Linked DNA regions of Schizosaccharomyces pombe. The gene in region 4 interacts genetically with the main gene of each other region. Each region holds a gene or a part of one and is shown on either strand. Other genes may lie near its edges.

The links.
Region 1: mutations in nse6 (region 4) and rhp18 impair growth when combined (synthetic growth defect), as found in Schizosaccharomyces pombe (2 studies listed by BioGRID).
Region 2: of nse6 (region 4) and nts1, extra expression of one rescues a mutant of the other (dosage rescue), as found in Schizosaccharomyces pombe (one study listed by BioGRID).
Region 3: mutations in nse6 (region 4) and pku80 impair growth when combined (synthetic growth defect), as found in Schizosaccharomyces pombe (2 studies listed by BioGRID, with this or other methods).

Annotation. Positions count from the first base shown.
Region 1 is NC_003423.3:1,066,331-1,074,672, reverse strand, and holds rhp18 (postreplication repair E3 ubiquitin-protein ligase), read right to left. Parts: upstream 4,646-8,342; 5' UTR 4,416-4,645; coding exon 3,252-4,415; 3' UTR 3,103-3,251; downstream 1-3,102. Other genes in the region: ESCRT-0 subunit protein HSE1, read right to left, coding at 27-102, 147-274; TRAPP III complex subunit Trs8502, read left to right, coding at 1,246-3,102; DNAJ protein Spf31, read left to right, coding at 4,731-4,781, 4,985-5,563; mannan polymerase I complex subunit Anp1, read right to left, coding at 6,289-7,581; fol1 (dihydropteroate synthase), read right to left, coding at 8,272-8,342. UniProt on the Schizosaccharomyces pombe protein: E3 RING-finger protein, member of the UBC2/RAD6 epistasis group. Associates to the E2 ubiquitin conjugating enzyme ubc2/rad6 to form the ubc2-rad18 ubiquitin ligase complex involved in postreplicative repair (PRR) of damaged DNA.
Region 2 is NC_003421.2:929,841-938,435, forward strand, and holds nts1 (protein Nts1), read right to left. Parts: upstream 5,316-8,595; 5' UTR 5,084-5,315; coding exon 4,924-5,083; exon of another isoform or gene 4,855-4,923; intron 4,445-4,854; coding exon 3,123-4,444; 3' UTR 2,897-3,122; downstream 1-2,896. Other genes in the region: proteasome assembly chaperone Pac4, read right to left, coding at 1-289; COPII-coated vesicle-associated protein Emp24, read left to right, coding at 751-844, 911-1,107, 1,238-1,546; SPOM_SPCC24B10.18 (uncharacterized protein), read left to right, coding at 2,182-2,272, 2,555-2,610, 2,664-2,798; SPOM_SPCC24B10.20 (dehydrogenase), read left to right, coding at 7,963-8,595.
Region 3 is NC_003423.3:4,300,856-4,309,352, forward strand, and holds pku80 (Ku domain protein Pku80 ), read right to left. Parts: upstream 4,548-8,497; 5' UTR 4,513-4,547; coding exon 4,384-4,512; intron 4,340-4,383; coding exon 4,285-4,339; intron 4,230-4,284; coding exon 4,163-4,229; intron 4,123-4,162; coding exon 2,286-4,122; 3' UTR 2,168-2,285; downstream 1-2,167. Other genes in the region: SPOM_SPBC543.02C (TPR domain protein, DNAJC7 family), read right to left, coding at 330-1,760; Npr2/3 complex subunit Npr3, read left to right, coding at 5,174-6,237, 6,303-6,996; bor1 (HC03 family inorganic anion exchanger), read right to left, coding at 7,201-7,524, 7,578-7,922, 7,961-8,396, 8,454-8,497. UniProt on the Schizosaccharomyces pombe protein: Single-stranded DNA-dependent ATP-dependent helicase. Involved in non-homologous end joining (NHEJ) DNA double strand break repair. DNA-binding is sequence-independent but has a high affinity to nicks in double-stranded DNA and to the ends of duplex DNA.
Region 4 is NC_003424.3:5,295,549-5,301,245, forward strand, and holds nse6 (Smc5-6 complex non-SMC subunit Nse6), read right to left. Parts: upstream 2,233-5,697; 5' UTR 2,186-2,232; coding exon 617-2,185; 3' UTR 501-616; downstream 1-500. Other genes in the region: vma4 (V-type ATPase V1 subunit E), read left to right, coding at 1-156; protein tyrosine phosphatase Pyp3, read left to right, coding at 3,290-3,577, 3,683-4,306; SPOM_SPAC11E3.10 (ER or Golgi multispanning membrane VanZ-like family protein), read left to right, coding at 5,234-5,295, 5,377-5,400, 5,568-5,697. UniProt on the Schizosaccharomyces pombe protein: Acts in a DNA repair pathway for removal of UV-induced DNA damage that is distinct from classical nucleotide excision repair and in repair of ionizing radiation damage.

The DNA.
Region 1 (8,342 bases), on a different chromosome or scaffold from region 4:
CCTCCTCAAAAGTGGTACAAACATACCGTCAAAGCCAACAATTGAATATTAGCATTCGCTGTATCCAGCCTTTTATTTAAAAATTTAATCGAGTTCCGACCACTACCAACCAGTTAGTGAAACGACTCTGATTACGATTAACTTACACATCTCCAGAAGTGCTAGATAGTTGATCGCACGCATCCATTATAACGTCCCATTTCTCTTTAGTATTCTTTTCATCAGTGGCTTGTAAAATAAGGGTCTCAATAGAGTTGGGTTTTCCTCGAAACATATTGGTGAAGAAGAGATGGCGGCGACCACTATGCTTATCCAAGACATATATATAACCTTGTAATAAATCGAGAAATTTTAGATCAATCAAATTGCTACTTGTTCTGTTAAAGGTGAATTTAATAAATTTCTATTTAGATAAATTCAAAAGCATGGTAAAGTGGTTGGTTTATATAGTCAACATTCATGGGTGCTTCTAAAAAAGAACTTGTAGCCGATTTATTATTCTTGGTTCAAAAATACGAGTCAATTTTTAAATATTCAGTAATATTTATACTTTTTGGGTTAAGCTTGGGTTCCTTTTAGAATAAAAAGACAGTTTCACTACCGAGTTGTATTTTCATGCTCAAGCAAACTGTATATTTAAAATACTGCAATACTCTAATCGGTCAAGTGTTTAGATTTTCTAACGAATGATGATGAATATAAAACTATGAAGCAACATTAAACCCTTGTCCTCATATATCAATTTGAGAATTCATTTATATATCTATTAAAACTAGTGTATTATAGTCGCAGCTTGCTGTTACTATATTTATTTCATTATTTTAAATAATATGTAAGCTCACCAAAAAGCATTACATTTCATTTAGCATTGGTTAGCATTCAAGGCTCAAACTAGGTGAATTCAATGTACGATATTTGTCGTCTAGATGATCGGTACAGTCCTTTTACATAGCTCTCTAATATACGAACAAAATACTCATAATTTGATTAATTAGACTTTTATTAAATGAAATCGTTTTTTTCTTTTTATATTCAATTAATTATGTAGTGACCTAGTCTGCTGTCAAATCTCGTACATCCTCTCCATATACCCTTGAGGTAGTTAACTTCTAGTCTAAAAAATTTGTTGATAAAGGTGCATTGCATGTATTCTTCACTACATCAGCTTTGTAATAAAGTCATTTAAGTGTCGGATTTCGAGTTTTTAATTGAAAAAGCTTGAATTTGACATTTACTCAGCAAAATATGGAAAGCAACCTTTCCGCCAAAGGTATTTTTCAACATGCAAGTGCTAATGCATCAGGGGAATTGTTTCAAGAGCCCGTAACAGAAGATCTTGAAAAGGTAATGCAGTCGAAAGGACTGTATTCGATGGAGGAGTTGTGTTCCATCATCCAAGAAGCATATGCTCCGCGAGTTTCGGTCCTATGTTCCCGAGATGCTGACGAGTTTGCCATGAGGAAGGGATATCCTAAGGGGTTTTGGGAATTGTTGTATCCTTTTGGAGACCGTATTCGTGGAAAGGTAAACCGTAGAGGAATGAATGGAGAAATGCTGACGTTGGAAAATTTAAATTTACATTTTGTCCCAATTGATGCTTTAGAAAGCCACTTAAGTGAAGCATCTTTTCCTTCACTTCGCTCGGTTTTATGTGAGCGATATCCAGGTCTTGTTTCACCTGAACCCCCTTCAGATTATTCCTTTGGCGTTCATTATAAAAACGTTGAACGATGGGCTTGGACATTGGCTCATGAAGGGAATTACCAAATGCCACTTCCTGTCTATGTGCGACAGTTACTAACTGGGATACCTATTACTCCTTTTGAAACTTTTTCTCATCCCGTTGCTCACCTTGTCGTAGTAACTTCGCATAATCCTAGTCCTTTTGAATCTCTCAGATCTTTGATTAATTCGATTCCCTACCTTTCCCTTCCTGCTTTCGTTTTCAATGATATAAACTACCTTTTCGTATATGTTCATGATGAAGATCAACATGATTTGGAGCTTTCAATGGCTATATTTGATACGATGAAGCAGACATTTGGAGATTGTGGATACTTTCTTCGCCTTCATTCACAAAAGGCTACCTTAGATTATGAACATACCGTTCCTTTTCCAACATCCTCTTGGTTGTCTGCTGAAGAACGTTTACACCTTTTATCTAATACGGATACTGAAATACGATTACTCTTTGAATCCGACAATGAATCACTGCGACGGTTATCTTCGCACATTGCGTTCAACGGAATTGTCTCTTATTTGGACAAATGCGTAAGAGCATGGGATGATCAATATGCTTCTCCGAGACGAGGGATTACCGGTAAGCTGTTATTTGCATCCAGAAAATATTTATCTAGTTCGAATGCTTCTACCAATTCTAACTATTTCCCCTCATCTAATGCCTATCGTCCATTTTCACCAGAGGCATATCTTAGGAAACTTGCCGACTATTCCTTCATGCTACGAGATTATTCTCATGCAAATCAGATTTATGAAATTGCATCAAGACAGTATGAAAATGATGGTGCTTGCTTATATTCTGCTGCCTCTCTAGAAATGATTGTAATAACTGAACATATTTTACACCTAAAAATGCCATATATGAGTTTGACGAACACATTGAGAATAAACGAGTATATGCAATCTGCTATGTTAAATTATTTGAATAAATCCTTCAATTCCTATTATCATGCTGCGCGCTGTTTCCTTCTCCTGGGACAATTCCTTAGTTGTTTACCAGCTCCAAAAGTGGACGATGCTGCTAACTGGAATGCAGGTTTGCTTTATTCTAAGAGATTGGGTCCTGTAGGAAGAGCAATGATCTTTCAACAAACTCACACTCTCTTTAAATCCCTTTCTTATTTAAAAACTGAATCTACGGACCCGTTCTCTAATAAGCGAACTCGTAAAGCCGCACTTTGGTGTGTATTAACTGCCGATGCTTGGTTGAGATGTCGCATTCCCTTTCGTGCCAAGCCTTTTGTAGAGGAAGCAAAATTGTTTTATGGAAAAATCGATTGGAAGGATTTGAAGGAGTGTGTTGCAGCACTTGACGAAGTCGAAGTCTCCAAACAACCTGCTTCTAATATTCCTTCTAGCTAGAAATGCCCCACTTTCAAAATGTATATTATTTTATTTACCAAATATCAAAATTTCTACAGGTTATTAATGTGATTATATATAGCGAAATAAACTAATAAGTTAATCTGATAATGAAAATTCGTTAAAACGAATCCAACGAAAATTAATGATTAGGACTGTGGTCCATCGGATCCCGTTTGTGAATTGGTAAGGTCAATAGTAAGAGGGGGACTAACTGAAGTGGCAGGAAAACCGTTAGATGTAGAAGGTTCGGTGGAAGATTCAACAGCAGTGTTCCTCAATGAATCATTTTTGTTAGTTGTTGATTGTTTTGCACGGTTGATGAGATCAGCAAAATCCTCAGCGTATGCCTTCTCCCAATCGCCCCCTCCTAGTTTTTCTTTTTCTACTCCAATTGATTTCGACTGAACGCGCTCCCAATCTATAAGTTGGCGAATTAAATTTCTTTTTGAAACAGGTTGTTTCTGGTCTAAATTAGAATTGTAAAGGGTAACCCATTTAGCATGTCGACGTTGTAATAGTTGTTTATGTCCATCGGTTGGAAGCCCCATCTCTGATAATTTGGAACGAATTTTTGATTCGGAAAGGAGTGCATAAGTTAGTTTGGGAAGCCGCACTCGATCTTTCAAGGGTAGTTCATCTGCAGAGTTAAACGACCTTAACCTGCGCTTCGTGATAGAATCATCATCTGTTTTGAATGATAGTAATGAATTAGATTTACTATTATCCTTATTTTTATAAGGTGAGGAAGAGGAAGACGGGGAAGAAGGTGAGTTAAGACAAGAATCCAAGTGTTGATTAATTTGATTATGAGGAACTAAATTTGAACATGCAGGGCAGTGAACTAAATCCTCACGTTTCCTCTTTTTAGAATCCCTAGATGTCTTTTTAGCTATAGAAGCAGGAGATGAATTTGAAGCCAAGTCGTCTTCCCATTCCTCATCGCCAGAAGCTGAATCCTGTGCGATAACTGTTTCAGGAGCTTGAAGTACTGGCTTTGGCACATTTTCTACTTTTAAGAATTCAAACAATGTTGGCCTGATCACTTTAAAGGACTCTAAAATCTCTTCTAATATAGTGTTTTTTCTTAAGCGGCTTTCTTGCTCAGGAGCACGACAAGCAGGGCACATAGGATGTTCTCTCAGATAATCGCGTATACAAAACGAACAAAAGGTGTGTGAGCAAGAAGTAATTAAGGGGGCGCGAAAGTATTCATGACAAATCAGACATCGTAAAGAAGAATCCAAGCCCTTCAACGATGGTATTTTCGTTTGGTTCCAATCAGATGGATCTGTAGCATCTAGTTCATTCATCTTATTTTAAATTGCAAACCCATTAATAGTTAATATGCACTAATATTCAAACTTAATTAGGGATTCGTAAGAGCACTCTCGGACGGTAAATTTTTAAACCTTAGACACATCGATATGTAAATGAATATGTATATTCATATACATTATTACATTTAAAGAACAAATGTAAAGAACCTGTTTCTAAACGTACTTACAGATTCTTACCCTCGATACCAGAAGTTGGCGAATGCAAAACCTAACTCACCACCAAATTTATCTATAAAGGATTTTTGAAATTTGCACTCTTGTAATTTCAATTTTGGGGCTCGGTCAGAAATGGCAGACGTTGCAAAGTTTTTAGATCGAGTTGAAGGAAGTTTAAACAGAGTAAGTTTTAGCATTTTATTGACATTGCATGTGAAGATTTCTAGATGTACCTTAGTAGGTTGATTCGATTTATCTTATTCTCAGAATTTTTTTTTTTTTTGTTTATACAGATTATATACTACAATGAAACAATAGAATAACTTTGCCTATGCGTATATTACTTGCTAATCAAACAAAGTCGATGAATTCTAACCTTTACTTAGGGACGTGAGATTGACAGAATATTGTCTTCCTTTAAATTAAATGCATATGATGTTCTTGATATTTTGCCAGGAATGAGTGTTGATGATATTCGAAATTTGTACAGGAAAAAATCATTAATGATTCATCCAGACAAAAATCGCGATAACCCAAAAGCTGCAGACGCATTCGACATTTTAAAAAAGGCGGAGTCTGATCTAGTTAATGATAAGATTCGGGAATCTCTTGATTCGGCTTACACAGCTGCAAGGAACCAACTATTGAAAGAAAAAAAATTGTCTCCAAATTCGGAAGACGTCCATTCAGACCAGTTTTTATTTGATTTAAAAGTACGTTGGCGTGAAATCCTTATTGCAGATGAAGTTGCAAGAAGACGAGCACGGCAGCTCGATTTAGCAAACCAGCAAAGAGAACAAGCGCGTCAAGATGAAATTGCAAGAGAACGAAAGCGTCGTGTAGAATCAGAAAAGGTTTGGGAAGAGACAAGAGATAATCGTGTGGGAAATTGGCAGGATTTCCTTCACAAAACGAAGAAAAATAACTTAAAAAAGAAGAATAAAAAACCAAGGGTTCTTGGATAAAAGACGAAGTTACGCGTTTTATTGTACATTAAAGCTTCGACGACTTAACCTCTTTTAGTATTTGTACATGACCTATGCGATTGAAATGATTTAATATGAAGTTTTCAACAATTTATAAATTGAAATTTCTTTTCATGCTACGTGAGCAGATTACCATTAAGTAAACTAATCAACAAATTCTACTGAAATTTGCTTTTCGACAGTGATATGTATCAGTATCGTAATAGAATTAATATGAATGCCGTTTAACCATGGTAACTGCTTTGTATATTTACAGCGTTCTATGGCATATATTCCTAATGGGTGCATGTAAAGAAAGAGAATGATTGCCCTACCCACTGTCGAATAAACAACAAACTAAAGATGTTTGTATGTACAAGGCTTTTTGGAGGAAAAAGTCCTTAAAGAGAGAATAAGACCAAGAGCTTCCTTTTTTTCCTGGCATAGCATTAAAGCGCACCAACTGAAGAAACAAGCATCATCCTAACGTGCATCCCATTATGAGTTCGTATACCAAGTTAAAAAAAAGAGGGCAGAATAACACTAAAATTACTAATTATGTCTTGATCATATGTTTAAAAGAGATAAAAAGAAATAAGAATAAAGAAAAAACGCGACCATCATTATATATGTAAGTGAAAAGGGGCAGCGATTTAAATAAAGAAGAGAGAGGACTGTAAAACATGGTTACTGTGCTCAGGAATTTTTTTACAAAGTAAGGGAGCTTAATCAACATGATCGTCTGCATGTGCCAAAGGACCTTCTTCAGCACCCTGATCATCTGGTTGCGTGAATCCAGCAGTCTGATACTTTTTAGCCTCTTCAAGCTCTGCGGCCTCCCTTTCTTTCCTTTCGCGTTCCATTTCAGCCATAATACGCTTATCATCATCGCTAGGTTCATAAATATGCCAAATAACATAGTGAGGAAGTCCGTAAACGGAAAACCCCATCCGCTTAGCCATTTTTCCAAATCCTTCGGTTTCAGCATGCTTTTCAAATGAAAATGCGGGAAACTCGCAACCTTCTAGGTGTACTTTAGCTTTAGACATAATAGATACACCACCAATACCATCCAGTGGCATTTCAACAGATGGGTCACCATTAGGATCACGAAGGTAAGCCAAATGAGGGCGCCAGGTAGCATACTCTGCGTATCCTTCTACAATAACGTCGTCTTCGCCCAAAGTATCTGCAAGCTGAAGAGCAGTCTCAGATTCAGCCCATGAATTTAAATCATATGGTTGCTCATTGCCCAACCAATCTGGTAAGGGTCTATAAACGTTAGGAACAATAATGTCTTTATCATGGCGCATAAGATCCTCCAAAATAGTGTTTGGAGCAGTCTCCACGTCAACATCTCTCCAGTAAACCCAAGAATGGTAAGGCTGTATAGCGGCTGACAAAAGCCAATTACGAGCACGAGCCATTAATTTCCTTCGGGGACCTTGTGCCGCAAATCCATGACGGTCACTGAATTCTTGACCGAAAATAGCACCGAAGTCCTTTAGCATGATAAGGACATTGTTAAAATGCTTAGATTCGTCCTCGTCATTTTGAATAGCGTCTAAATGTTGCTTCAAAACCTCGAGAGTATTATCATCAGTGTCTGAAATTAGAAAGGCAAGGTCTATAAGTTCGTGAGGATAAGTCAGGTTATTCATGTGACCAAAAAACATATTAAGATGTTCTGCAGCATTTCGAAGTGGAGCACAAATCAACACCTTTTCTTTCGGTGAATAATCTCCAGTAAATTTAGCGTTCATTACTTTTCGCAAGTCATATTCTTGCACATCAGAATTAGGAGCGTTCGCGGTAGAAGAAAAACTGGGAAATTCACCAAAAGAAGAGAAGAATGAACGATGGAAGAATAAAAATAAGACCAGTGTTAAAGCAATTATCCCAACAGTTCGAATGGTTTTCTGTCGGAATATGGGATTTCCGCTGGATTTAGGCTGGAATCGATTCGGCGTAATACTAAAAGGGCCACCATCTCTTCCAAAGTCTCTATTTGCTTTCATTGTGGAAGAGATTAACAATAAATAGCTTTATAAAGCAGTAGTGGCTACTTTACCAAAGGTACGGGGTTGGTTTAGTTTAAAGTGGTTGGTAGTATATAAATATAACGAACGCGAAGGCTAAGCAAAAATACCAAAATCAAGAATTTTAGAAAAAATTGGAGACTGTGAATTTAAAGAATTAATTTAAGCTTATTAATACTTAAACAGTACTGTTTTTACCAATGCACGAAAAATAAAAAAGGCACGTGCCAGGTTTTTAAGCAAGCCGCGTTCCAATGTCTATCTTCTAAAAAAAAGTAAAAGCAGGAACATTTTTGGTACAACTATTCATTATATCTAAAAAATTTACAATTGCATCTGCAAGTGCGTGTATAATTGCCACAGTTATTTTCTCTTCTCTTACAAACATAATCCTCGTTAACTAAAATTACAATATGTGATGATATAATGAAACTAATTTTATTCAACCTGTGAATATTAGATATCCAATTCAAAATTAAATTGTTAACAATATCCGTGAACATTGTCAGAAAATGATACTACATTGGTTATTGATAAATTCTCGGGTCTACAACGACGAAAGATAACCCGTTGGATTTGATTTATTAAACATAACCAACTTCTTACGTTAACTGTTGTTTTACAAAGTTTTCAAAATTATATTAAACTTGGAATTTTAGAACAAAGCAATTAAGGTACGTAACGTATAGCATTAGCCATACCAACGACTTTAGACATTTCTTTAGTGTCATGTACACGTA
Region 2 (8,595 bases), on a different chromosome or scaffold from region 4:
AGTCCCCTTGAAGGTTTATGCTAGTGTAGACTTGAGCTTGAAATTTTTTGGAGAGGATCCGAGACATTTGAGTAGAAAGATCGTCAATTGAGCCAGCACCAGTAAGTTTGGTAGTAACGACATCCGATTTACCTGGCATGGAAAGGGCTAAATCACCTGCAGGACATGTTGAAACATTGCTTCCCCATACAAAGATAGAAGAGGATGGATTCAGCTTTATGACTTGTATCCATACTTTTGGTATCATTGCATTCCCAAAATCAAGTTCTTTTTGGATGACTTGAAACATGGTAAAACAATTATTTTTTTTTAAAAATTCAAAGAAAGAGAGGACAAGCAAAGTGTGGCTTTAAAATGTTGGCAAAAATATTATGAATACAACAGTAAAGGTTTTCGAACAAATGGCAAGTTCATGCAAAACCTAATTAATAGGAGAGAAAAAAAAATAAAATGAATTGATGTTCAATAATAAGTTAAATACAAAATAAACGAAGTTTTGGAGAATTACTAGTTATACTCTGAAGACAAGAATGATTTAATAATTTCCACAGAAATAAGGAAAGATACCGTATTACGTTTTTTTTATAAAGACATCGTATTTTTTCTTAAGCAAATTTAACGTAGCGTCGCCTAATTTCACAGTTGTGCTTTGTTTATGCACGGTTGCCCTCCAACTAGTGCTTTGTACGTTTCCTCTACCATAGACCTCATTCTTGCTGCTTCAAAGAGCAAAGAGCTTTACTTTGCAAAATGGCGTTTTTTAACGTATTTAAAGCCGTGTTATGTGCTTATTTTATATCTGTTGTTTTCGGTCATGGCATTACATTGAAACCGCATCAACGAGGTATGTAATTTCAGTGTATTTGTGTTGAGATTCATGGAGTATACAATGCTAATGAAGCAAACTTAGAATGTTTCTATGAAAATTTGAGGAATAATGATCAAATGTCTGTCACTTATCAAACAAACGTTGGTGGTGATCAGCTTGTTTCTATGAGTATCTACAATCCTGCGGGTCAAATTATGCATCAAGAGGTTCCCAACTCTATGGCCCAATATTCTTTCACCGTTAAGAACCCAGGGAAATACATGTATTGTTTCTATAATGTATGTGTTATCTTTTTGTTTTCTGGCATCAAAGCCTGGCATTATGGTCGTCATTTCCCATGTCGTCTAATTGTTTGATGGTTGAGCCGGAAACAGCTAGATGTACAATCTTAACTAACAACATCAATAGGATGCACTCGATGGTGAATCAAAGGAGGTTTTATTCAATGTGCATGGTGTTATATATATCTCTGATGAAGATTTGGATGCTAACAATCCTTTACTCGGCAAGGTCCGCCAACTCCATGATACCATCTCCAAGGTAAAACATGAGCAGGAGTATTTTGTGGCTCGTGAAAGAATACATCGCAATACTGCTGAAAGCACAAATGACCGCGTCAAGTGGTGGAGTATTCTTCAAACCGTTATTCTAGTTTCCGTATGTGTATTCCAAATTTTCTACTTAAAGCGACTTTTCGAAGTAAAGCGTGTTGTATAGTTTATCCGCATAACGTTACTTATTGTTCGCAATAAGTTTTCCGTGCGACTGGACGACGGTCGTAATTTCAAGATTCTGCTTGAGCAGCAAAAAGTATTATAATTGGTCTCTATTTGAAGCTGGCCATCACCGACGACTAAATTTTTTTTAAAAAATTTTATTTCCTGTCGGTTGCTGGCGTTTTCCCTTTCAATCTGAATCTTTAATCTGTCTTTTACTTGTGCAGGTTAATGTTTTCTTTTATGATCTCGCCTGTTCTTTAAAAAAAAAGATTCGTTATGTTTGAAGCAATCATTTAGCAAACGTACGTGTTTTTTAATGAATTTTAAAGTCTTAATTTCTTAAATCATTCTGCACTGTGGGAAACACTGCACTTTAACTTTCACATTTTATGGCATTCCGATCTTTCTAAAGGTACACTTTTTTTATAGACGGTAACATTAACAGTATAACAATTCCCTCATTATACATTTGCTTATAAAACGAATTATTTAGTCTGTAATGCCACTTGTATGTATTACTTATTGCTGTATTCATGGCGATGTTTGTTACCTCCTTCTAATGTTACCTTCAAAGTATCTATGAAAATTCATTTACTACACCAAACTATAACCATTACCATTTATCGTAACTCAATGGCACAAGGAGAATTTAAAAAGAAGAAAAATAGTAGTGCCAACAAGGGCGGACGTGTTACAAAACACTCCAAGAATCCTAAAAAAGGCGGTATGTCAGCTGCAACTGTCAAATATTCGGTGATCTTTGTATGCTAGGGAATTTGGTTTAGGGATGTTTCTTTTAATATTTTAAGCTCATTGAAGTTGTTGGACAACCTTTGTGGTGCTATAAACTCTTCATCTTTTCGTAACTTTAGATACTCATTATAGTAAAATTTTTCATTAAATTTTTTGATACACGTTTCAATCATTTTACTCTTAAGCATACAAGATATCATATTATATGGTTTATCATTCATCATTAATACTCATTACTAACCTTGACTTTTAGCTCGTTATTGTGCCCCTAGAAGAGCAGCTGCTATCAAAGACCATACAATTAATGCGGTATGTTTTAAAATTTACTTTTATATATGTTCTTTTTGCTAATATCTTTAAAGAACATTACAAAAACATTAAATGTTCGCAATGAGAAACTAATTGCCGGAATTGCGTCTCAACAAGTGGGCAAGTTGACAATTACTAAGGCATTAGGTGAAGCTGGTGCCAAGGAGTTAAAGGAGGGAAAGCATTGAGTCGTTTGGTATTTCTTTTTGTGTAACTGTTTTGTTCCTTTTCAAAAGGAGGTAAATGGCTACACTTGATCATACTGCATTTATCGAATTGTAGCATTGGTTTTGGAATTTTATTACTATTATGGTTAAGTATACAGGGAATTCGGTTCATTTTTGATTATTATTTATAAATTAATTTTGTTGGGAAATGAGTAAACGTTATATACAAATATTGTTGTTTGATAATTTTCTTTAAATAATTAGACTCAGTAGTGTTCCAAATAAAAAGCTCGTAATTCTAAGATTAATAATTATGTTCCACAAAAAAAATGCTTTTAAACATTCTTAAGTCCTCGTTCGTTTGTTTCGCGATAAGTTTACAGAAGTAGTTTTCGTTTTGGAGTTCTGTCCTCGCCCAGAATTTGACTCTGCATTTGAAATGGCTTTATTTAAAATTCTCCACTCCTGCTGCCATGTGTCGAGTAATGTTCTAATTCTTTTAATCTTTACTCGTTTTTCTGGAGTATCTTCCGGTGGGTGTTCTCTTTTAAGAAAATCAATCAGCTCTGAAAGCTCTTTCTCTGAATCGGAAGATTCCAATTCTATTCTCTCTTCCGCTTCAACTTTCCCGTCACCGTTAACTTCTAAATCAACTTCTTCTTTAATGCTTTCTTTTTCCGAAGTAGCCGTTGTTCCTTCTACCGGTTTGTGATGGCCACGTAGCATTTCTTCTGTTGCCGCAGTCGCTTTTTCAACATTTTTTCTGCTTTTGTTCTCTTGAATGTCATTAAGTTCTTTCAGCACTTCAGTTGTGTTTGTTGTAGTGCTTTCGGGAACCGGTGATGATTTGGTCGAAGTAGTGGTACTTGTTAAGTAAGAGATTCTAGGTACGATATTTTCTTCAGGGATTTGATCACGTTGAGGGCGTATGTCATAATTGATTTTCTCAACAACGGCTGCAATCTGTTGTTTCAGAATACTCGAAGATTTAACCTCTGATGAAAACCTTTCCATTCGAGGGTTAATAGGCTTTGATACGTTCTCGACATTATCAGCGCTTTCCAAAGCTAAATTAGGAAAAGACATTGGCGTCCCTTGTGTTGATCTCAATGTTGACGAAGTAAATATATCTGAAACGACCAACACTCTTTGGGCCTTCAAAAAAGCCAAAAGAACTGAAGGATTGGACCATAATTCATAAGCATTTCGAAATGATGGATCATAAAATATTTGACTTCCATACTGAATACAGAGATTAGCCACAGCTTTCCGATCACAGGTATGCTGTGATACACGGATTAACCAAGTAGGGTCAACGGCTAGTAAAGTAGCATGCGTGGTATTTGTTTCAACGTCGGTTTCCAAAGAGTCTAAACATTGTATGACAATTTGATTTAAGAAGTTTTTTTCCTCAACGGGAGTGGCCGTTTTTTTCTGTGCTTCAGTGAGAGTAGCATAGGAGTTAAAGTCCTGCACTTTTGAGGTTGAAATGCTAGCGACTGCAGAGTCTCGAACAGGGACGAACGCTGAGTTGGGAGTTAGCCGACAAATGTTTTCTTCTTTGTTGGCAAACCGCAAACTGCGGTATTGTCGGATTAGTACGGGACGCGCATAGGTTTTTCGACTACTAAGATCCTCTGCATCTATTGGAAGTCTTTCATAAGGAACTGCATTAACGGTTAGAAATTTTAATAAAAAAGAAATAAAACATCAAAAAAGAAATCGATTTTTCAAGTGACATTGTAGTAGATTTGAATTTTCAGTCATCATAATTTTTTTATACAATCATTTGCTTTACAGAAAACTGTACGGTTAAATCTCCCAAACATTTTTCCTAGGGAAATAAAAACCCAAGGGCTAAATGTTGAAATCAACCATTCAATTTCGAACAGAAACAACAAAAAATATAATTAACGACCAACGCCACAGTCTCATCCAACCACTCATGCCAAGTCATGAATAGAGTAAAATTTTATATGTTTCTTTGAGAAAATTGAATTGATATAACCTTAGAGTTATAGGCGTGCAAAATGTTTGATAAAAGATCATCAAAATTGCTATCAAGCATACGACGATCAATTGAAAATTCACAATTTTAGAAAAAGCGATAAAAATAAACTTGATTATATCTAATATTCATTCTTACCTAGAGTTAAAAGGCAGTTGTACAAACGACCTCGATCGTCATATTCAAAAATGTTGCGAACGAATGTATCAAGTTCCTCGGTCTGTAGAGGATGGAATGCACTCTGCAAAAATGAAAAGAACTCATCAATATCCGGTTTTTTTTGACACGATTTCACCATTACTCTGTGAGTTTTGAGTCATATATATTAAGTAGATCAATGTTGTCTTCAGTTATTAAGAAACAAATAGCGAGGGTATTGAAAGGAAATATATACCAAAAAAACAAATATTTTAATGAATTCAGTTAATCATGTGTCAATAAATTGTGAATTTAATCTCTATATTATTAACAAATTGATTCAAGTGCTCCGTCGACTGATTCACTGTCTGCAATACTGTTTGGTAGTTTGCAAGTTTCAACGGTAGTCGATTACTAGAACGTAAACATATACTTTACACAATCACTACATGTTAAAACACTTGAAAACAAAAATTCCAATAAGCTTTAATTTCTATTAAAATTTACATCTCTATTGTTTTGACACCAAAAGCGCTAAGGTGAAAGTATACGATAAAATGTAAGTACGGTACAAAAAATACAAAGCAATTCCTCCCGGCACTTTGAGAAGGAATTCATCCTGACGAGAGTCAGAACAAAAAAAGAGAGAGGATCGTGCTTTATTACCAGACGTTCTGATAATCATTACTGAGACATATCAGTGATGCAATCCTTAGTGCTGCAATAATAATTAAAGAATATTTCAAGGAACTAAAGGAATCTTTCTAACTTTGATTATATAAAATAATTTTAATATTCTAGTGATGAAAAGATTATTCCTCGTTCGTTTTTTGGTTTACTATTTCATTTATCACGAATAGTGCTACAACTAATATGTAAACTTTTACGTTTAATACTGATGAATCATGTGAGATGTCGATTGAAATCTTTAAAAGATATTCTTACGTATAACTAACTCTCAACTTCTTTTATAGCCACGGTTGTAATATTTCTATTACATAGGATTCATCTGCATTAGGACAGTTAATTTCAAACAAATGGATACTTCTGTAGTTTTCTGAAATGTCTTCTCGAATTTTTTACCTCTCATTTAAATGAATTATAAGAAGCTAAAGAACAATATAAATTTTTTGTGTAATTGGCAATACTACATTACAGTTAAGCCCCAAGAAGCGAGTAGAGGCACATAGTAGGGGAACTAAAGGCTCCGAAGGCCTTTACTTCAATCTTTAGGTTCATAAAATATATAACTTAAAATAACATGTCTTTTTAAATGGTAATTTATTGAATAAAACCTATTTTCAATTAACAGTGGGAGATGGGAAATTTAGTGTTTAAACATTGATTAACAATGAACTATACGAGGTAACGCAGAATATGTGTTACCCATTCAGCAAATCTTAATTGTTCATGAATCGTGGATAAGCAAGGAATATACGATCCATACATTTTTAAATACGAAGAGAATGTTAGAGAATTTCATCGATGGAAGGTCATTTTACTACTGAGAGGTAACGGTAGAATACTGCTTTTGCATTTTCCAACTTGACAGGGTTCATTCGTCAAAATCGAATATAAAGCGAAATTACAATAATAGCAAGATAGCCGTGGCATACAATTAGGTGTTATTTTATCAATTGGTGAATCTTAATACCAAATAAGAATAATGTGTATTCTGAAAGAGAGGTGCAGGAAAATGCGTATAAAGCAAGAGGAAACAGCAAAAAAAAATTATATTAATTTTGAACAACATCATTTCATCTCAAGATAAATTTGTTCCATTAGTCAATTTTTAAACATCATCAGTTTTGATAGCCCTACGGTCGGCGAATTTGCAACTTTGCATATGACACTTAAATTTAATATTTGGGATAAAAGTAAATATGGCTTGACCTCAAAAGAATGCATTTGAAAATTAACAAAATTGTATGTTTTCGGGGGGTTTTTTTTTTTTTTTTTTTTTTTTTTAAATGATCAGTGAATTTTATAAGGTATCCGATATGATTTTAACCCAGATTCAAAAACAGGAATATTATTTTATTACATTAAATTTTTGAAGCATCAAAGTCGGATATGTTTATTTTTAAACGAAATTGCTTAACAAAAGAAAATATTAAAAAAATAAAGTCTGATCATTAACAAGCTATATGATGTTTACAAAATCTACCAAAAAAAAACACATATATAAATAAAAGAGGAAGAATGAAAATTACATTTCTCGCAGTAAAAATAAAACACTAAAAGAGCTAGTGCGTACAAAACACTCCATAAATATAAAATAAATGAACATACAACAGAAAAACCATGAAATTTTCTTACACCCTTGATATCCTTTCCTACCTACTAAAGTAGATTAACAGTGTAGAAAGAAAGGAGCGATATATAAAGCAAAACGCTATATTTACTTTACGAAGCACCTTTCAAAACGTTACAGTAGCTGTACATTCTGTCAGGTTCCTTTATAAAGTCAGTTGCAAATTGAAATATAACGTAGCCTGTCATTAAGTTGCTTATATGAAATAGAAAAAAAACCTTCACTATCGATATATAGTTAGACAACGCAAGTTAGCACCAGTTGGTAAATTTGTAGCAATAAAAATGTGAATCCGCTACATTGTTTGTATGTTTATTATCGAAATGTATTGCCAATTCTTTAGTTATAGTAGCTTTATCTAGTAGCAAATGGAGGAATGATACCTGATAGAATTCAGCAGCCTTTTACTTTAAAACTGCTGTCCCAAACTCAGACTAGAGATACCAGCTACGACTTTAGGGCTTAATTTGGGCAAAAGAGCATAATGTCATTCATAAAGCATATTGATTGATTAAATAATAACGTATTATTGTTTAGTGACTATAGTTTAAGAACTGTGCGACGATGCATTTGCAGATCTTTCTGACTTGATACATTATGCGTGAGCGCAACTGTTTTACACCTCCAACCAAGTAGGCTAGGCAAGACGACTGACCTTGATATAAAGAATTATTGTTGAAAAAAATCATCACCTTGAATCTTTTTGAGTCATTTTATGCTAAAACATGTCGGCTGCTGGTGGGATAGTTTACGTTATTGTGGGTGGAAACCGTGGCATTGGACTTTCTCTAGTCAAAGAGTTAAGCAATAAGGAAGGAGTAACTGTTTTTGCAAGTGCTCGTGGACCTGGATCTGCCTCTGAACTGAAAGATTGGAGCAAGACCCATTCCAATGTACATATCATCAAGTTAGATGTCACTTCTCTACGAAGTGCCAAAGACGCTGCCATGCAGGTTGAAAAGGTAGTAAAATGTATTGATGTTCTTTGGGTGAATTCGGGGATATCGAAATCCTTCCAACCTGTTTTGAAAACATCAGACGAGCTTTGGATGTCTCATTATCAAACCAATGTGTTAGGTCCTATTCATGTTTACCAAGCTTTTTATCACTTGTTAAAGGAGGGAAAGCTAAAGAATATTGTTTTTACTTCATCAATGGCTGCGTGCATGGGAGGAGTTCGTCCAAACACATACTCGGCTTACGGGCAATCTAAAGCAGCCTTAAATTATACGATGAAAGAAATTAGTTTTGAGTTAGAGAAAGATGGATTCGTTGTAGTTTCTATTCACCCTGGAGTAGTTAACACTGACATGTTTGTTAATGCTATGCAAAAATTAGCCAGCAAATATCCTGAGATG
Region 3 (8,497 bases), on a different chromosome or scaffold from region 4:
GATAAGCAGATTTATTTACAATACGATCAAGATTCCAAATGATTTATGGCTCGACAAACGCTAAACGTAAATCAACAACATCCGGGAAAAAACTGCAAAGATAGATACAGAAAACAAAAAAAAATTCGGGCGTAATAGAATACATATTAGGTATCGGTGTAATTACAATCCGAAGTTGTCTGACTCACGAATTGAACACATTCACGAGTTTTTTTTTTTAATAGATGAAATGTGTAATAATGAAAGATAGGTCGGAAAAAGTTATGAATCTAAAAAAAAAGATAGGAAGAATGAAAACGGTATAAACAAATCGTGAATTCTTTTCCAACTTAAGAAAATTGAAAACTTGTAAATCCAGGGAAACCACCCCCCATGCCAAATCCCTGAGAGTTGTACGAACCTCCCGGGAAACCACCGCCTGGGAAACCACCTCCTGGAAAACTACCTCCGGCTTGGTAAGCCCGAAGAATATCAAAAGGATCCATTCCGGCACCTCCCTCCATACCAGGTTCAAGATCGACACCCGAATCAAAACGACGTCGGCTTTCTGGGTCAGAAAGAATAGTATAAGCCTCGCCAACTTCTTTAAAGCGTGCTTCAGCCTCAAGATTGCCAGCATTTTTATCAGGATGATATACCAGAGCTAATTTACGATAAGCTTTCTTAATTTCAATATCGGTTGCTTCCTTGGAAACACCTAAAATCTTGTAGTGATCTTTACGCTTCGACTTTTTCAATTCTAGCTGAAGCCGGCGTAATTCTTGACGCAAGTTAGCATCGCTCGCATCTAGTTCTATAGCTGACTGCACGTCTCTAACTGCCTCTTCCCACTTTTCAAGAGCTTCGTGAGCCTTAGCGCGAACTTTTAAACCTTTTAAATAAGATGAATCTATTGCCAAAGCATTGTCACTGTCACTCAAGGCTTCCTCCGGTCGTTTTAAGCGTAATAACACAGTAGCTCTATTCATGTACAACTTGGCGACAGTTTCTTTATTATCAGGATCAATTTGCAAAGCCTCAGAATATTTTTCGTAAGCATCTTGGTAATTACCTTGACGGAACAAATCATTTCCTTGATTTTTGGTGTTCTCGAGTTTACGAACTTGCTTGAATAATGTTTTGGCCGTAGTGCAATCAGGATCTAATTTCAATGCTTCTTGAAAATGGGTAATAGCCTTCGCATTCTCACCCGAATAATACATTACTTTACCACGGAGGACTAAAGCTTCTACGTTCTTAGGGTTAAGTCGTAAAACATCGTGTGCAATTTTTTGAGCACGATCCATATCGTTCTGAAAAATATATACCTGCGCTTTCAAATACATCCACGACATTGGGGGTTGAGTAGTACTATCAATACGACGCTGAAGGCGATCAAGAGCATTAAGAGCTAATCCAGCTTGCTTATTTTTCAAATACACCTCTGCCTCATTTAAAATTGATAGACCTTCGTAAGCCTGACGAATACGAGATTGTGTTTTTGGAACGTCTGGCTTAATACGGTCGGACTGTTTCGCGTCACATAAAGCCAATTCAAACTCACCAATCTGCATATAAGTAGCGGCACGATTGGAATAATAAATCGCCAACGCTGAATCTGATCCTAAATCAATGGCTTCTGTATAGGCTTTGATAGCCTCTGCATATTTCTTTTCTTTATAGAAAGCGTTTCCTATAGCCTTTTGCTTTTCAGCTAGCTCAGCAGGCTCTTGTTGGCTCTCTGTACCTGCATTCATGTGTGTGGTTTCGACTTCAGTCATTTTGATCGAATTAATTTAAATATTTAAAAAATTTAAATTTTATTTAAAATGACAGAAAGTTCAGGAACGCTTTCCAATCGCCGAAGCGTAACAGATCAAAAAGTCAGTGGTAGGTAAATAGATACGACCAAACTATTAAATTTTAGTATCACTAATAAGGAACACTGCTGTAGCTCCTTAAGCATGTCCCCGATATTTGTCCAATTCGTGAAAGTAAGTCTAAAATGTTCTTTGAATAATGTAATTGTGAAAGATAGAATATAAATAAAAAAATGCAAGGAACTCTCACCAAGTTTTTAAACGATAGTTGTGTTTTCTGAAATATCATAGGTATGTTTACCTAAACTACTTAAGTTAAAACTATTTTCTATTTTTGCGACCGTGTATTCTATATGCTAATAAATAGCGGATTCATGACTTAAAAATTTTTATTAGAAATTTGGATAAAAGTAAAAAAAATATTGCAAGTATTTAATAAAATTTATTTATTTATGTTCGAGTAAGACAAGTCATTGTTGTCCTATGCTAAATGTTATTAAAATTATCATGTCTAGTCAATTCATCATGGAGAATAATATCTAATCCAGATGATCTTATTTTGTTAATAAGCTCATTCTCCTTGGGTTTGTTATTTTGCATTACGTCCTTTTTCAATCGAGTAAGATACTCATTAAATCTTTCAACTTCGTCTTCCAAAATTGAGTGTAACCTGAGAGATTGCAATGACTGCAAAGCAAGATCGTACTTAGACTTGTCAATAAGATTTTTAATTACTTTTTCCATTTCTGTCAAAGCATCCTCTAGTCCAAAAGGGTTTTTCAAAACTTCAGTGAAAGTGCCTACTGGGTCTTTTTCACTAACGTGAAGGACTAATAATTTTTCTCCTTCCTGTTCATCGAGACCAGAATTTAGTAGTTCTTCTATTTGTTCCTCTGATATTGGGGCGCCTGTGTCGAAGGCTGTTTCTTGAGAAGAATATTTTGGTTTGACGGGGACGTTCACTGTAAGTTTTTCCTTAATCAACTTCAAGTCCAAAATGCAATTATCAAGTAAACTTTTTGGAGGATTGGTGTAACGTGTTAAGTAAATATTTGGTTGAGGAAGATCGCCTTCTGGTGAATTTGCATAATAACTGATAGCTTGTTGAAGTCTATGTGGTATCATACTAAAGGTATTTTCGGGCTCAAAAGGAGGATTGAACCCACAATCAGAGGAATCTAAATCCATATTATCGATATAATTACTTACGGCAAAATCAATTTGTCGCATATCCTCTTCATTTGACAGTTTCTCGAACTCTGAGAAAGAATAAGGCCGAACATCTTCAGCGAATGGAAGTTGTATATCAACCAAGTAATGTCTTTTAAACTCCACGTAAGGCATCAAGACCAGCAAAACTGGTACGCCCTTATCTTTAGAAACAAACCTTGCGAGCGCATATCGGTGTTCACGTTCAAGGGATTGAACAAAGGCAGAAAAATTTAATTTGCTTTCGAAGTCATCTTTTGGAACGATTATATTAGTATCACTAATGGTATAATAAATTGGAAGACTAGATTTAGGAATAAATCCAAGGATTTCATAACCGGGTATTGTATCTAAAGCCAATACGTCTTCATCTGATCGGCTGATCGGGACGATTGTCCTACCATAACTATAACCGCTTTCCAAGTCTTCTCTTTTAACCTCAAAAGAATCGTTTGTTTTTGGATCACGAACCATGTACGATCGAACAGTAGACACTGCATCAGATTCCATACTTTTGTTTTCCACATTTGAATTTTCGATATTAAGACATTCATAATTTTTAGACATATCGTTTTCATAAAAAGCAGATGATGTTGGCGGTTTAGTTAAACGAGTTCTAGGATATCTTTCAACCTGTATGCTTATAGACGTATCTTTGCTGTCTCTATTACCAATACTAAATGTACCTCTAAAGATTGCGACAGGTCTCACTTTACGAACCCAAGGTTTACCGATGTTGTTATAAATCTGTTGAAATGTGCAGTACTGACCATGACAACTCTCAACAAACTCTTGAATTCGAACTTCGTTTTCCTTTTTCTGAGATTCCTTTAAAGGCTCAGAATAATTAATATCTTCTTGATCAAAATCAACTCCATAAACACCTAGAAAAACATCATGCTGCAGTAGTTGTTCGGCAATTCCAATGTAATCACTAAAGTCGATAATCCCCCTAGCTGCCGTAAGCACTATCATCTTCTTCTTCCATTTGTTCTTTTTACAATGCCGAGCCATCAAATCAAAGGACACAACTATTGCAGATATCAGATCGCCTTGCATAGTATTGCTTGGTTTTAACGTTTGAGAAACGGATTGTAGCTTTGAAAATAAGGCACTAGTTAAGAAGTTAATGGAGCATTTAAGAGAAAGCTTACGTTTGTATAGGATACAAAACACTGATATTCCAATAGGCTTCCTGCTCAGCTAAATCATTTTTCGTATCTAAACACCGTAAAAGTTAGAAGTAGTGTACCTTTAAAACATTACAATAGAATACCATCGCATTTGTAACCAACGATTCCAACTACGTCTGTCTTCCTATTTGCTAAAAACTGAGTATGTGTCAATAGGGTGTCGATAATGTTGAGCAAAATACCTTATGAGACAATTCGTCGTGAAAATACGACAAAGTCCATTCGAGATCAGAATGAGACCTGCCATGGTGACAGGTCCCCATATCTTTGCCCAAGTCAAGTACAAAAACAGTACATTCCTTATCACTCATACGAATTGTTAAGGAATACAGATTTGGTGGAGGTCAAAGCAAGGTGAGATTTGTTGTAGAACATTGGGGCCTCCGATGCTTTCAACAGTTAGATATCAATTACACGGTCATTTTAAATGATTCAGGTATTTTCTTCGCGGTATGAATATACTACATTAACAGTAAGTCCAGCAGCATATGTGCAAATGCACATGTGACTGAAATGTAAATAACCCAAAACATTGTATATAAATTAGTCAATTCATTTTTATAACTTAAATCAGAAACTCTTGAGAATTGAATTGGAGCTATTAAAGTTGCTAAGGTTTTACGCACATTAGAAATTTTGCATAGCGATGCTTTTACTTTCAATTCACACATTAATTTACAAAGCCGTGAACTCATATCTCAAGATGTCAATAATTAGTTAACATTCAGTTTAACTATTCATGTTAGATCTTATTAGTTTTGTACTAGGCGATTAAAACACCGAGCTGCCAGATGCATATCGCTCACAAATCTTTCGTACTACACGCAAATTACCAGAAAACGATACCACCCCCTTGAGGTATAATGTTTAAGGTGATATTTGGTTTTCTGTTGTGAAAAATATATTAAAAAACACACATATGTACTTCAATTATCGAACATACACATTTATACTTTGTTTTAAAACGCCAAAATGGTACGCTTAACTCCTCGATTAGTAGCCATTTTCCTTGTTGAAAAAACAACATCAGGAGCTAATTTCGTCTTTCACTGGCCGCTACAACCTCAAGTACGTCTACAAGCCACTCATCATAATAATGATTCAGCGGAGTCTGCAATCGGGATGCTCGACCTTGATGACAGCGATGATGATGAGAATAATAGGTTTACTGAAGTAGCTGACGATACACATGTACTTGGTTATGAAAAAGGCTTTCTCGCAAATATGCTAAGTCCTCGTATTGAACTTTGCAATCAAAAATTTGAAATTTGGGTGGATGGTCTTACTTTTTTGGGATGTCCTGTTCATATTGGTCCGAACGGTGAGTGGGCTAAACGAAGGAAACCACGAACTACTGTTGAGTCTAATGCTTCTTCGAGCCATTTGGTATCAAAGCCCGAATCTTCACACCCTTCGACAGGAAGTTTTGAAGTAAAATCATCTTCATCAAAATCGAGATCTTCAATGTCTTTATTTCATGTCGTCTTTGTATTAAATGTGCCTACAGCTACCGTATATCGCCCTACTGTAAACACGATGTATGATCATATAGTAGTCAAGTTAGTTACTGGACTTAAATATGAACAAGCAAAACGGAATTATGTTGAAAATGAGTGTATACACATCTTAAAACTGACTGAAAAATATTCAAGCCAAAACGTCCCATTCGATGTGTATGCCGCTCAAATCCCTCATCACTCAAATCTTGCTTCGGTTCTTGCTACTACATATGAGGCTTTAATTAACATGCATACGGCTTATTTAGAGATAAATCAATCGATTAACTTAAGCTTACTCTGGCCTATGTCGGTTTCCACCAACACACTTGAAAATTACGAACTGCAGGTTAGACCATCAACTATTTTAGCATCTCAAACCATCTTCTCTGAAGAACATCCTTCCTCTATTGAACCTTTCGTTGCCCCCTATTGGACTTTGTTGCTCTTAAAGGATACAGACACTATAATGAAACGTGTTCCTCTTTTACAAAATTCTCTTCTTTCTTCTTTCATTGCCATAGTAAAACCTAACTTAACGTAAGTTTTGTCAAGTCTAAACAAAATTTATTATTGCTATTAAATACTAACTTACAATATTTCAGGTTCACAGATATCGCTAATCGTCTAGGAATATCAGTATCAGAATGCTTTATTCTAGCAAAACACCTTATTCATTGGAGAAAGGCTATCGCTATTCCTCCTTTGTTAATCCGGAATACTTATGTTACATCCCCAACTGCTAATCTGTTTAATTTGGAGGAGGAGTCAAAGCTTTTTAAAAAGGAATTTCCGAGCCTTCCCTCACTGTCAACATTTTTAGCTATTTTGTCGTTTAAACCGCGACCATTTGCCTCCATTATTCCATCGAAAGATCATGAGTTAGTTTATTTGGAAATGCTTGCTTGGCTGTGTCGAAGAAATTGGGTTTATGAACAGAATATCTATATGTATATTCTCGTTCCAGAAGAAATTAAGAAAAAAGCGATTGCACTAATAGAATCTGATGAGTCTTCTAAAAATGACATGCAGCTTAGAAAGCAACTTGAACAAGATAATGGCAAAGAGTCTATTATCATTGATCCGCACTCTGCCTCTTTGCTTGAACAGAAATGGATTCAAATTATAGCTTATGAGAGGGGACCAGAAATGGCTCCATTGTTTACGTCAATTGTCAAATATTTAAATGGTAGGTTTGCTTTACAAACTATATGGGTTGCCGAAGGCTTACCAAGGAAACTAATGCGAAATATTCTTAATGAGTATAATGATTACATCCTTCGATGGCATTCTTGGTGAAACTACGAAAGTATAGCTTGGACTAGCTTATTAATATTTAATCAAAATTTAACACACCAAATATATTACCATTGTACGATATTAGTAAATTAATTATTAGAAAACGTCTTTGAAATCAAGTCATGACAAATACCTAATTATACAACCTATTCCATCAAGCTTTTTTTATATTTTATAGAAGACCCCATCTTTAAAAAAAGTAGATTATACTTTTTGATAAGCAATAATTCCCACATTTTCGTCTAAAATTTCAAGATCTTCTTCAAGGAACCATTTAGGCATACAATAAGTCCTAAATGGAATCAGTAATAAAATAATAATAGGGAAACCAATGGATGCTTTATCAACCTGAGTAATTGCAAAGGTAGCACCAAAACCTATTAATTGCAAAATAGTGTATAACCAAACTACGCGTTTTGAGCTACAGTGGTTTAAAGTATGGTTTTTAGATACCACCTTTCTGTCACTTAACATCCAGATTACGTTTTGAGTGATACCGTTGCCAAATATTGCTGAAAACCCCATCACCTAAAATTCAGTTAGCAAAATATAATCTTCCCTTCAAAAAAAAAAAAAAATACCCAAAATAATCCTGCTAAAACACATTGAGGAATTTGATGTAACACCAGTAAAAGTGGACCAGTCATGGTGCCAACAGTCATCAATCCCTGAATGAAATTACTAGCTCGTTGTTCAACAACTCGATCTATAACTTCTTTATGCGTTTTTTCAATTTCGTCTTCATCATAATCAACCCTTTTAACACAAAGTGCTGCAGTATGCATGGGAGCCTGTGGAATAAGCCCATTTGGAGCAGGAATACCTAAAATACCACTCACTCCAGTCGTTATACCAAGAAGAAAAAAATCCCAATGAAATCCAGCAGGTTTGGTTAATGGAAACGAAGGATCTTGTGCCATTACAGACTACTAATGTTAAAAAAAGGAAATTAAACAATACATACAGAAACGTTATGATCAAAATAGAATAGGATAGTGAGAACAATAGAAAAAGGAATTGCCAGGAAAACATCCCCAACGGGTATTTTCCAAAATTTTATAAACCAGCTTCTAGATAACGTGGGTTCAAAAGCTTTTGTTGTAGGAAGTTTCGCTAAAGAAACTTCCCGCATTTTCCCAATGTGCTGAAACCCACTGAAAAAAATGATGGATGCAACAAGTCCGTAATCAAGAAGTAGAATACGTACTTTGTAACTGAATAAAGAAGATTTTCCTACTGTATCACAAAGCCATCCCACCATTAAAAATAATAAAGCAATAGTAATTGACAGAAATGTATTTGTAAGCCCATACTTTAATTGGTCACAAAGAACTTGAACGCCTTTTTCCAAATAAATAAACGCAACATATAGGCCAAAAATTTCACAGCTGAATTTTGTGCTACAGTTTTCAATTAGCTGGATATCACAAGAACATAAAAGCAAAAAGCGAACTTACATATGCTTTACAAAATAAACCCCATTTGCTATAGCAATGATGAA
Region 4 (5,697 bases):
TCTGTGCTTGGAGGTGTCGTTTTAGTAGGTTTGGGTGGTAAAATTCGTGTTGATAACACTTTGCGTGCTCGCTTAGAGATTGTGAAGGAAGAAGCCCTTCCTGAAATTAGACGTCTTCTCTTCGGTGAAAATCCTAACCGAAAGTTCGATAATTAAATTTTGAGATATCGTCATTTGTTTCTTTCATGACATTAATTTCTTTTGCTTTATCTTATAATCTTTCTCAAGTTCATTTAAAGCATTTATCTATAACTTGTTTCAAATTTTTGCTTCATCCAAGTATTTAATGCTTCAGGCTAAATGATCGCAAGTTCGGCTTCCATTGTTTTCTTAAATGTGGATTGTGTATGATTTCTGCTGATTCTTATCATAAATTATTCCCATAGCTGCTTTCTATTAATCAAGTGGATACAATATCTTTCAATGGATGCTAAGTTTTGACTATCGTAAAAGATGGTAACTTCTTTCTTCTTTTCTGTCCATTTGTAATTCCAAGGGAATTATAATAAGTAACTTTCTTTTAAATTAAACTATGGATTTCTTAGTTAGAAAGTATTATACAATTTGTTGAATTTGCGCCAGCACTGAAATTAATATTAATAAATACACTGATTGTTTATCTTTTGTACGCTTGCCGTTTATTTTTCTTTTTTCCCTTCTTCACCTTTTTAGCTGAAAAGCTTTTGTTTTCTTTCATCGATAAGTTAGAAGTTTTATCCTTGAAATACCTGTCCTTTTGTTTATTATTATTGGGCAAGTCACTTTCAATAATCCTCTCCAATTCTGGTGCTGAGTTTGTATTTAAATAGTAAAGCACCATAAAAAGTCTATGTATGCAATCTTTAACTTCACATCTCGATAGTAGCAAATGGTCTGTTGAACCAGATATTGTTAAATCTATTTTTCGTAATTTTTCCAGTAAGCACTCTAAGCGCTCATTAGTTTTAAAATGCTTTTCATCCACCGCATATCCGAAGGTACGAATCTGGTACAATAAAGTTGTATAGTCATTATTACAGGAAGCGGAAATTTCATCTAGTCGTTGACATAAAGAAGAAAAGTCTGAATCATCATTTTTACTTTGTTTCCCAACAAATAATGTAAAAGCAATCTTCTTTCTGAATTTTTGGCAGGAACGAGACAAAGAAGATAGTATTGTAACCCAAACTCTAGGACTTTCAGACACCTTATGAATATTACTGATCAAAAAATCTGGATTCAATGATATTGGAAGTTCCATGAATTGAGAAAATTGCCATTTACAAAATGAGCCCACTTGATTGTCAATTAAGATTCGACATGCATCCTGAATCATTTCAAAGCGAACAGTGTCGTCGGAGAACCGATACAAAGTTCCACAGCATTTTAGGAAATTAATTACCTTAATTTTCAAATTGCTTTTTAAATTTTCTGAGGCTGACGTACGTTCCAACTGGATTGGTACCTGTCGTTTCGCTAAATCAATGCCAATCATATCTGCAGTAGTCTCAAAAATAAATCGTACAATTTGGTTGAGATTATTAGAGCTGCTTTTATAGCTATAAAAAATCTTTTCTAGGTTAGCAATCCATTCAGAGCATGTTGTGTCTCCTAAAGAGCGGAAAAATTGCAAGCTGCATATTGACAATGCAATATCTAAGGGGACCAATTTTGCCGATAATAAATCACCAAAAGTTGTTGGTATAATTCCTTCATTAAACTCCAAATCGTTATCTTTCAAGCATTCTGCTTTCAGGGTGTTCCAGTCTGGAACACGAGCTTTTGAATTGCTACAATATTCGTACCTAAGGTCGTCATCATAAATAGGGTTAGAACGTAGAACATTCAAAACATTTGATCCAACACTTTTTCCTATTAATTCATCAATTTCATCTCCCGTTTGAAAGGTTTGAGTGCTGTCATATTGCAATAAATTTTGTACTGCTAATTTTCTTCTTTTTGCAACCGAATCGTCAATTGTAGCAGTACTAGAAAGAAGATCAATATTCCATCTGTATGTAGATGAATTAGAAGAATCATTTTTCAAATACTGTTTTCGCGATTGGGCTCTTGCCGAAGGCACCAAAGAAGAGATATCAGGAAGCTCGTCCAACTCTTCAGAATCATCACTATCAAGTATGTGGTCAATTAATTTTGAAGAATTATCTAAATCAGGAAATTTTGAAATGTTATTAGACGCATTCATAGAACTATACCAGCAAAGACACTTTTGATGTGCTTTGGTAAAAGGGTGGATGGATATATAACAAAAATTATGAAATAGTAAATAGTGGAAAGTAAACGTTTATAATTTAATTATATAGCATTATAGTTTGACGACGATTGTTTTTTTGTTGTTTATAGTCTCATTTCATCCAATTTGAGCATTCCAAGCAAATAATATTAAACATCGAGTAAATTATTGATTTTCTTATTAAATGAATAATTTGTTAGTTTATAGCATTTCAACTGCTATTACCGGAGAAATCATAAACATATCCAAGCTGGCTTCGTTGATGTTTACATATGACTTTTCTTAAGCGAACATTCAAAAAAAAAGAATAGAAAAAACCTGTCATAAGCTTTTGTTAACAATTAATGATTTTTACTAATTCTGAGTTAAAGTTATTGGAAACCTTAGAAGAAAGAACACCTAAAACCAATTTAGGCACGTTTTCATTCAAAGAAATCTTTACAAATTACATTAAAACCAAAGAAGCCAAGTAAGGGAGTCAAACGAGTCAAACACAACTCCTAAAGAACAATGGCGACATTCAAACAGGCATTTAATGAAACAATTGCTGAGCAAGTATTATAATACTTGGCCTTATATAAGAAACGTCAAAACTTTTCTCTACACTTTAAATATTTTTGTTTTTGAAAGTAAAAGTATAGCAGATCGATTAAGTCCTTGGAGAGAACATAAGTGCGTTTAAATCATTTTATTCACTATCATCAATACAGTTGTTTACAACCTATAAAAGTATCCCACATATAGCTTGTTCTTCATACTACCGGCTTCGTAAAGGTTCGAGTTACCCCCACATAGACATTCGCAAATACTCTGGGCCTAGTCCTACGAAGTGAATGTGAACGTGAACTAGATTACGACTACAACTAGAAACTAGCGCTATGTGGGGGCCGTACAATGATGATTTATTAAACAATTATACTTCTCTTTTTTACTGACTTCTGTCATGGTTTTAGGAATCATTTAAAGTCGTTTAGTAGAAATTATTCTTTCTTTTTGATAGACACAAAAAAATACTTCGGTGAGAAGTTTAAAAGCGAATAAACGCAAAAAATCAATATGTCTTTTAAAGAAGTATCTACAGAAAATGGTGTTCTAACACCCTTGATCACAATAAAAGAAAAAGCGTACATGATTATTGAGGGACTCAATGAGGAAGAGATAGAGCTGTTAAATACTAGGTTGCCAAAGCTAAGTAAGAAAGCGCTGGCTAGAAACCGATACTCCAACATAGTCCCTTATGAAAATACTCGTGTTCGTTTAGATCCAATGTGGAAAGAAGCATGTGATTACATTAATGCTTCCATAGTAAAAATCCCTTCTGGGAAAACATTTATCGCTACTCAGGTTAGGAATAAAAAGAAATTGCGGGATTGTAAACGGCTTTGGCCTTTTTTCTTTTCATCATTTTTTGTAACATAATTACTAACTTAGTCTTCTTTATTTATATAGGGTCCAACGTCGAACAGTATTGATGTTTTTTGGAAGATGGTCTGGCAATCTGTGCCAAAATCAGGCATCATCGTTATGCTTACCAAATTGAGGGAACGCCATCGTCTGAAATGTGATATCTATTGGCCAGTGGAACTGTTTGAGACACTTAATATCGGTGATTTAAGCGTTATTTTGGTAAAAGTTTATACTTTGACATCATTAAATGAAGTTCAAGTTCGTGAATTTGAGCTGAACAAGGACGGGGTCAAGAAAAAAATTTTGCATTTTTACTATAACGGTTGGCCTGACTTTGGTGCACCACATACCTTCTCACTACTATCACTGACTCGCTATATAAAAAGTCTCTCATATTCTCCGGACTTTGAAACAGCACCCATTATAGTCCATTGTTCAGCGGGTTGTGGCAGAACGGGAACTTTCATGGCGTTATTTGAGATTTTATCTCAAACAGATGACTCTACTTCAACTTCGAAATTTGAGGTGGATAATATCGCAAATATAGTTTCCAGTCTTCGGTCACAAAGAATGCAATCTGTTCAATCGGTCGATCAGCTTGTTTTTCTTTATACAGTATCTCAAGAGCTGCTTCAAGGGAAGGAATTTCTTCTTCCTCAGTTATAGCCTTTGGTTTAGAGTTTGCTGATAGTCGATTCGATGTTAAAAACTCGTCTCATGAATTTTCGAATTAACATTATATTATTTATAAGAGGATCTTCTTTTTTTTATTCAAAATTTATTTTATTTGTCTAGCACGTTTTATTTCTTTGATATCCAGTTTTTGGACCGCTAATGATTAAAAATGATTTCAATTACTTTATATGGCACTATTTCTTTAGAGACCTATAAAATGATCAATAAAACGTAAATATGAATACTATTTTTATTTTTTATCTTATCGAAGGTTCAAAAGTCATCTATTGTTATAATTCGTAATGACAAACACAACTATCTCCAAAATATTATAGGTCGTCAATGTTTGTAGCAGTTCATCCTTTGTGATTCATTTATAGATTTTTTATACAAGGCGCTTTTAATTTATTAAAGAATTTACAATAATTTGCTGCATGGAATAAAATTGACAAAGAAGTAACCACGAATTTAAATGTTCATCGCAAAAAAGTTGAATGAACGCTTTGGCAATTCTTTTAATTTTCTTGACCACGTACCATTTGACGTGCAAACTATTAGTACTTTGGCATATAGTGAAGCTGGGTATCTGTGGTTATTGATATTAATACTGTTTAGTACATATAAAAACCTTGTCAAGTATGAAATTCAACTTTCCCATTTATTCCATTACATATCATATAAATTGCTATAAAAATAATAAACAAACAATAAACTTCGTTTAAGGTACTGAATTAAAAGTGCTATTCGGTAAGTTTAGTCGCTTGTTGGTCGATACTACGATCCGCTAAGCCCAACAAGGCTGGTTCAGAGGAAGTAGCTTCTTTAACCGTACTACCCACTACTTCTATTACAGACAGTCGTTTTCACTGTTTTTTTCCATAAAGTTGTTGATTGAATGCAATTATTAAATTCAAAAAAATGATGCTCCCATCCTATTTACATTTTGCTATACGCAAAAAGGTCTTGGCGATATTCATAGTGTAAGTAAATCAGGAAGTGCAGCTTGCAAGATTAAAATCATTCTTTACGATTCACATCTCTCTAACCAATTTTCACTTTAGTTTGCTTATCATTTCTGCTTACCTGTAAGTAAACTCCGCACATGTAACTAGTTTCGTTTTTAAATCATTCGTATTCGTAACGCTTTGCTCCTTATTATTACTTTATCGAAATTCAGCCTTTTAAAGGATTTATTTTTTTTGAAAACAATTATATTGATAAATGATTATGTTACTAAACACATTGTATTTAGAGGGTTTGCTCCTGCTTTACCGGTTCCTATAAACGACAAAGTTTGTCACTTTTTTGTCTTCTTCTTGTTAACTCTTGTGTTCTACTGGGTCTTTGATTTATCTCGTCGTCGAGCAACTCAACTTACTATA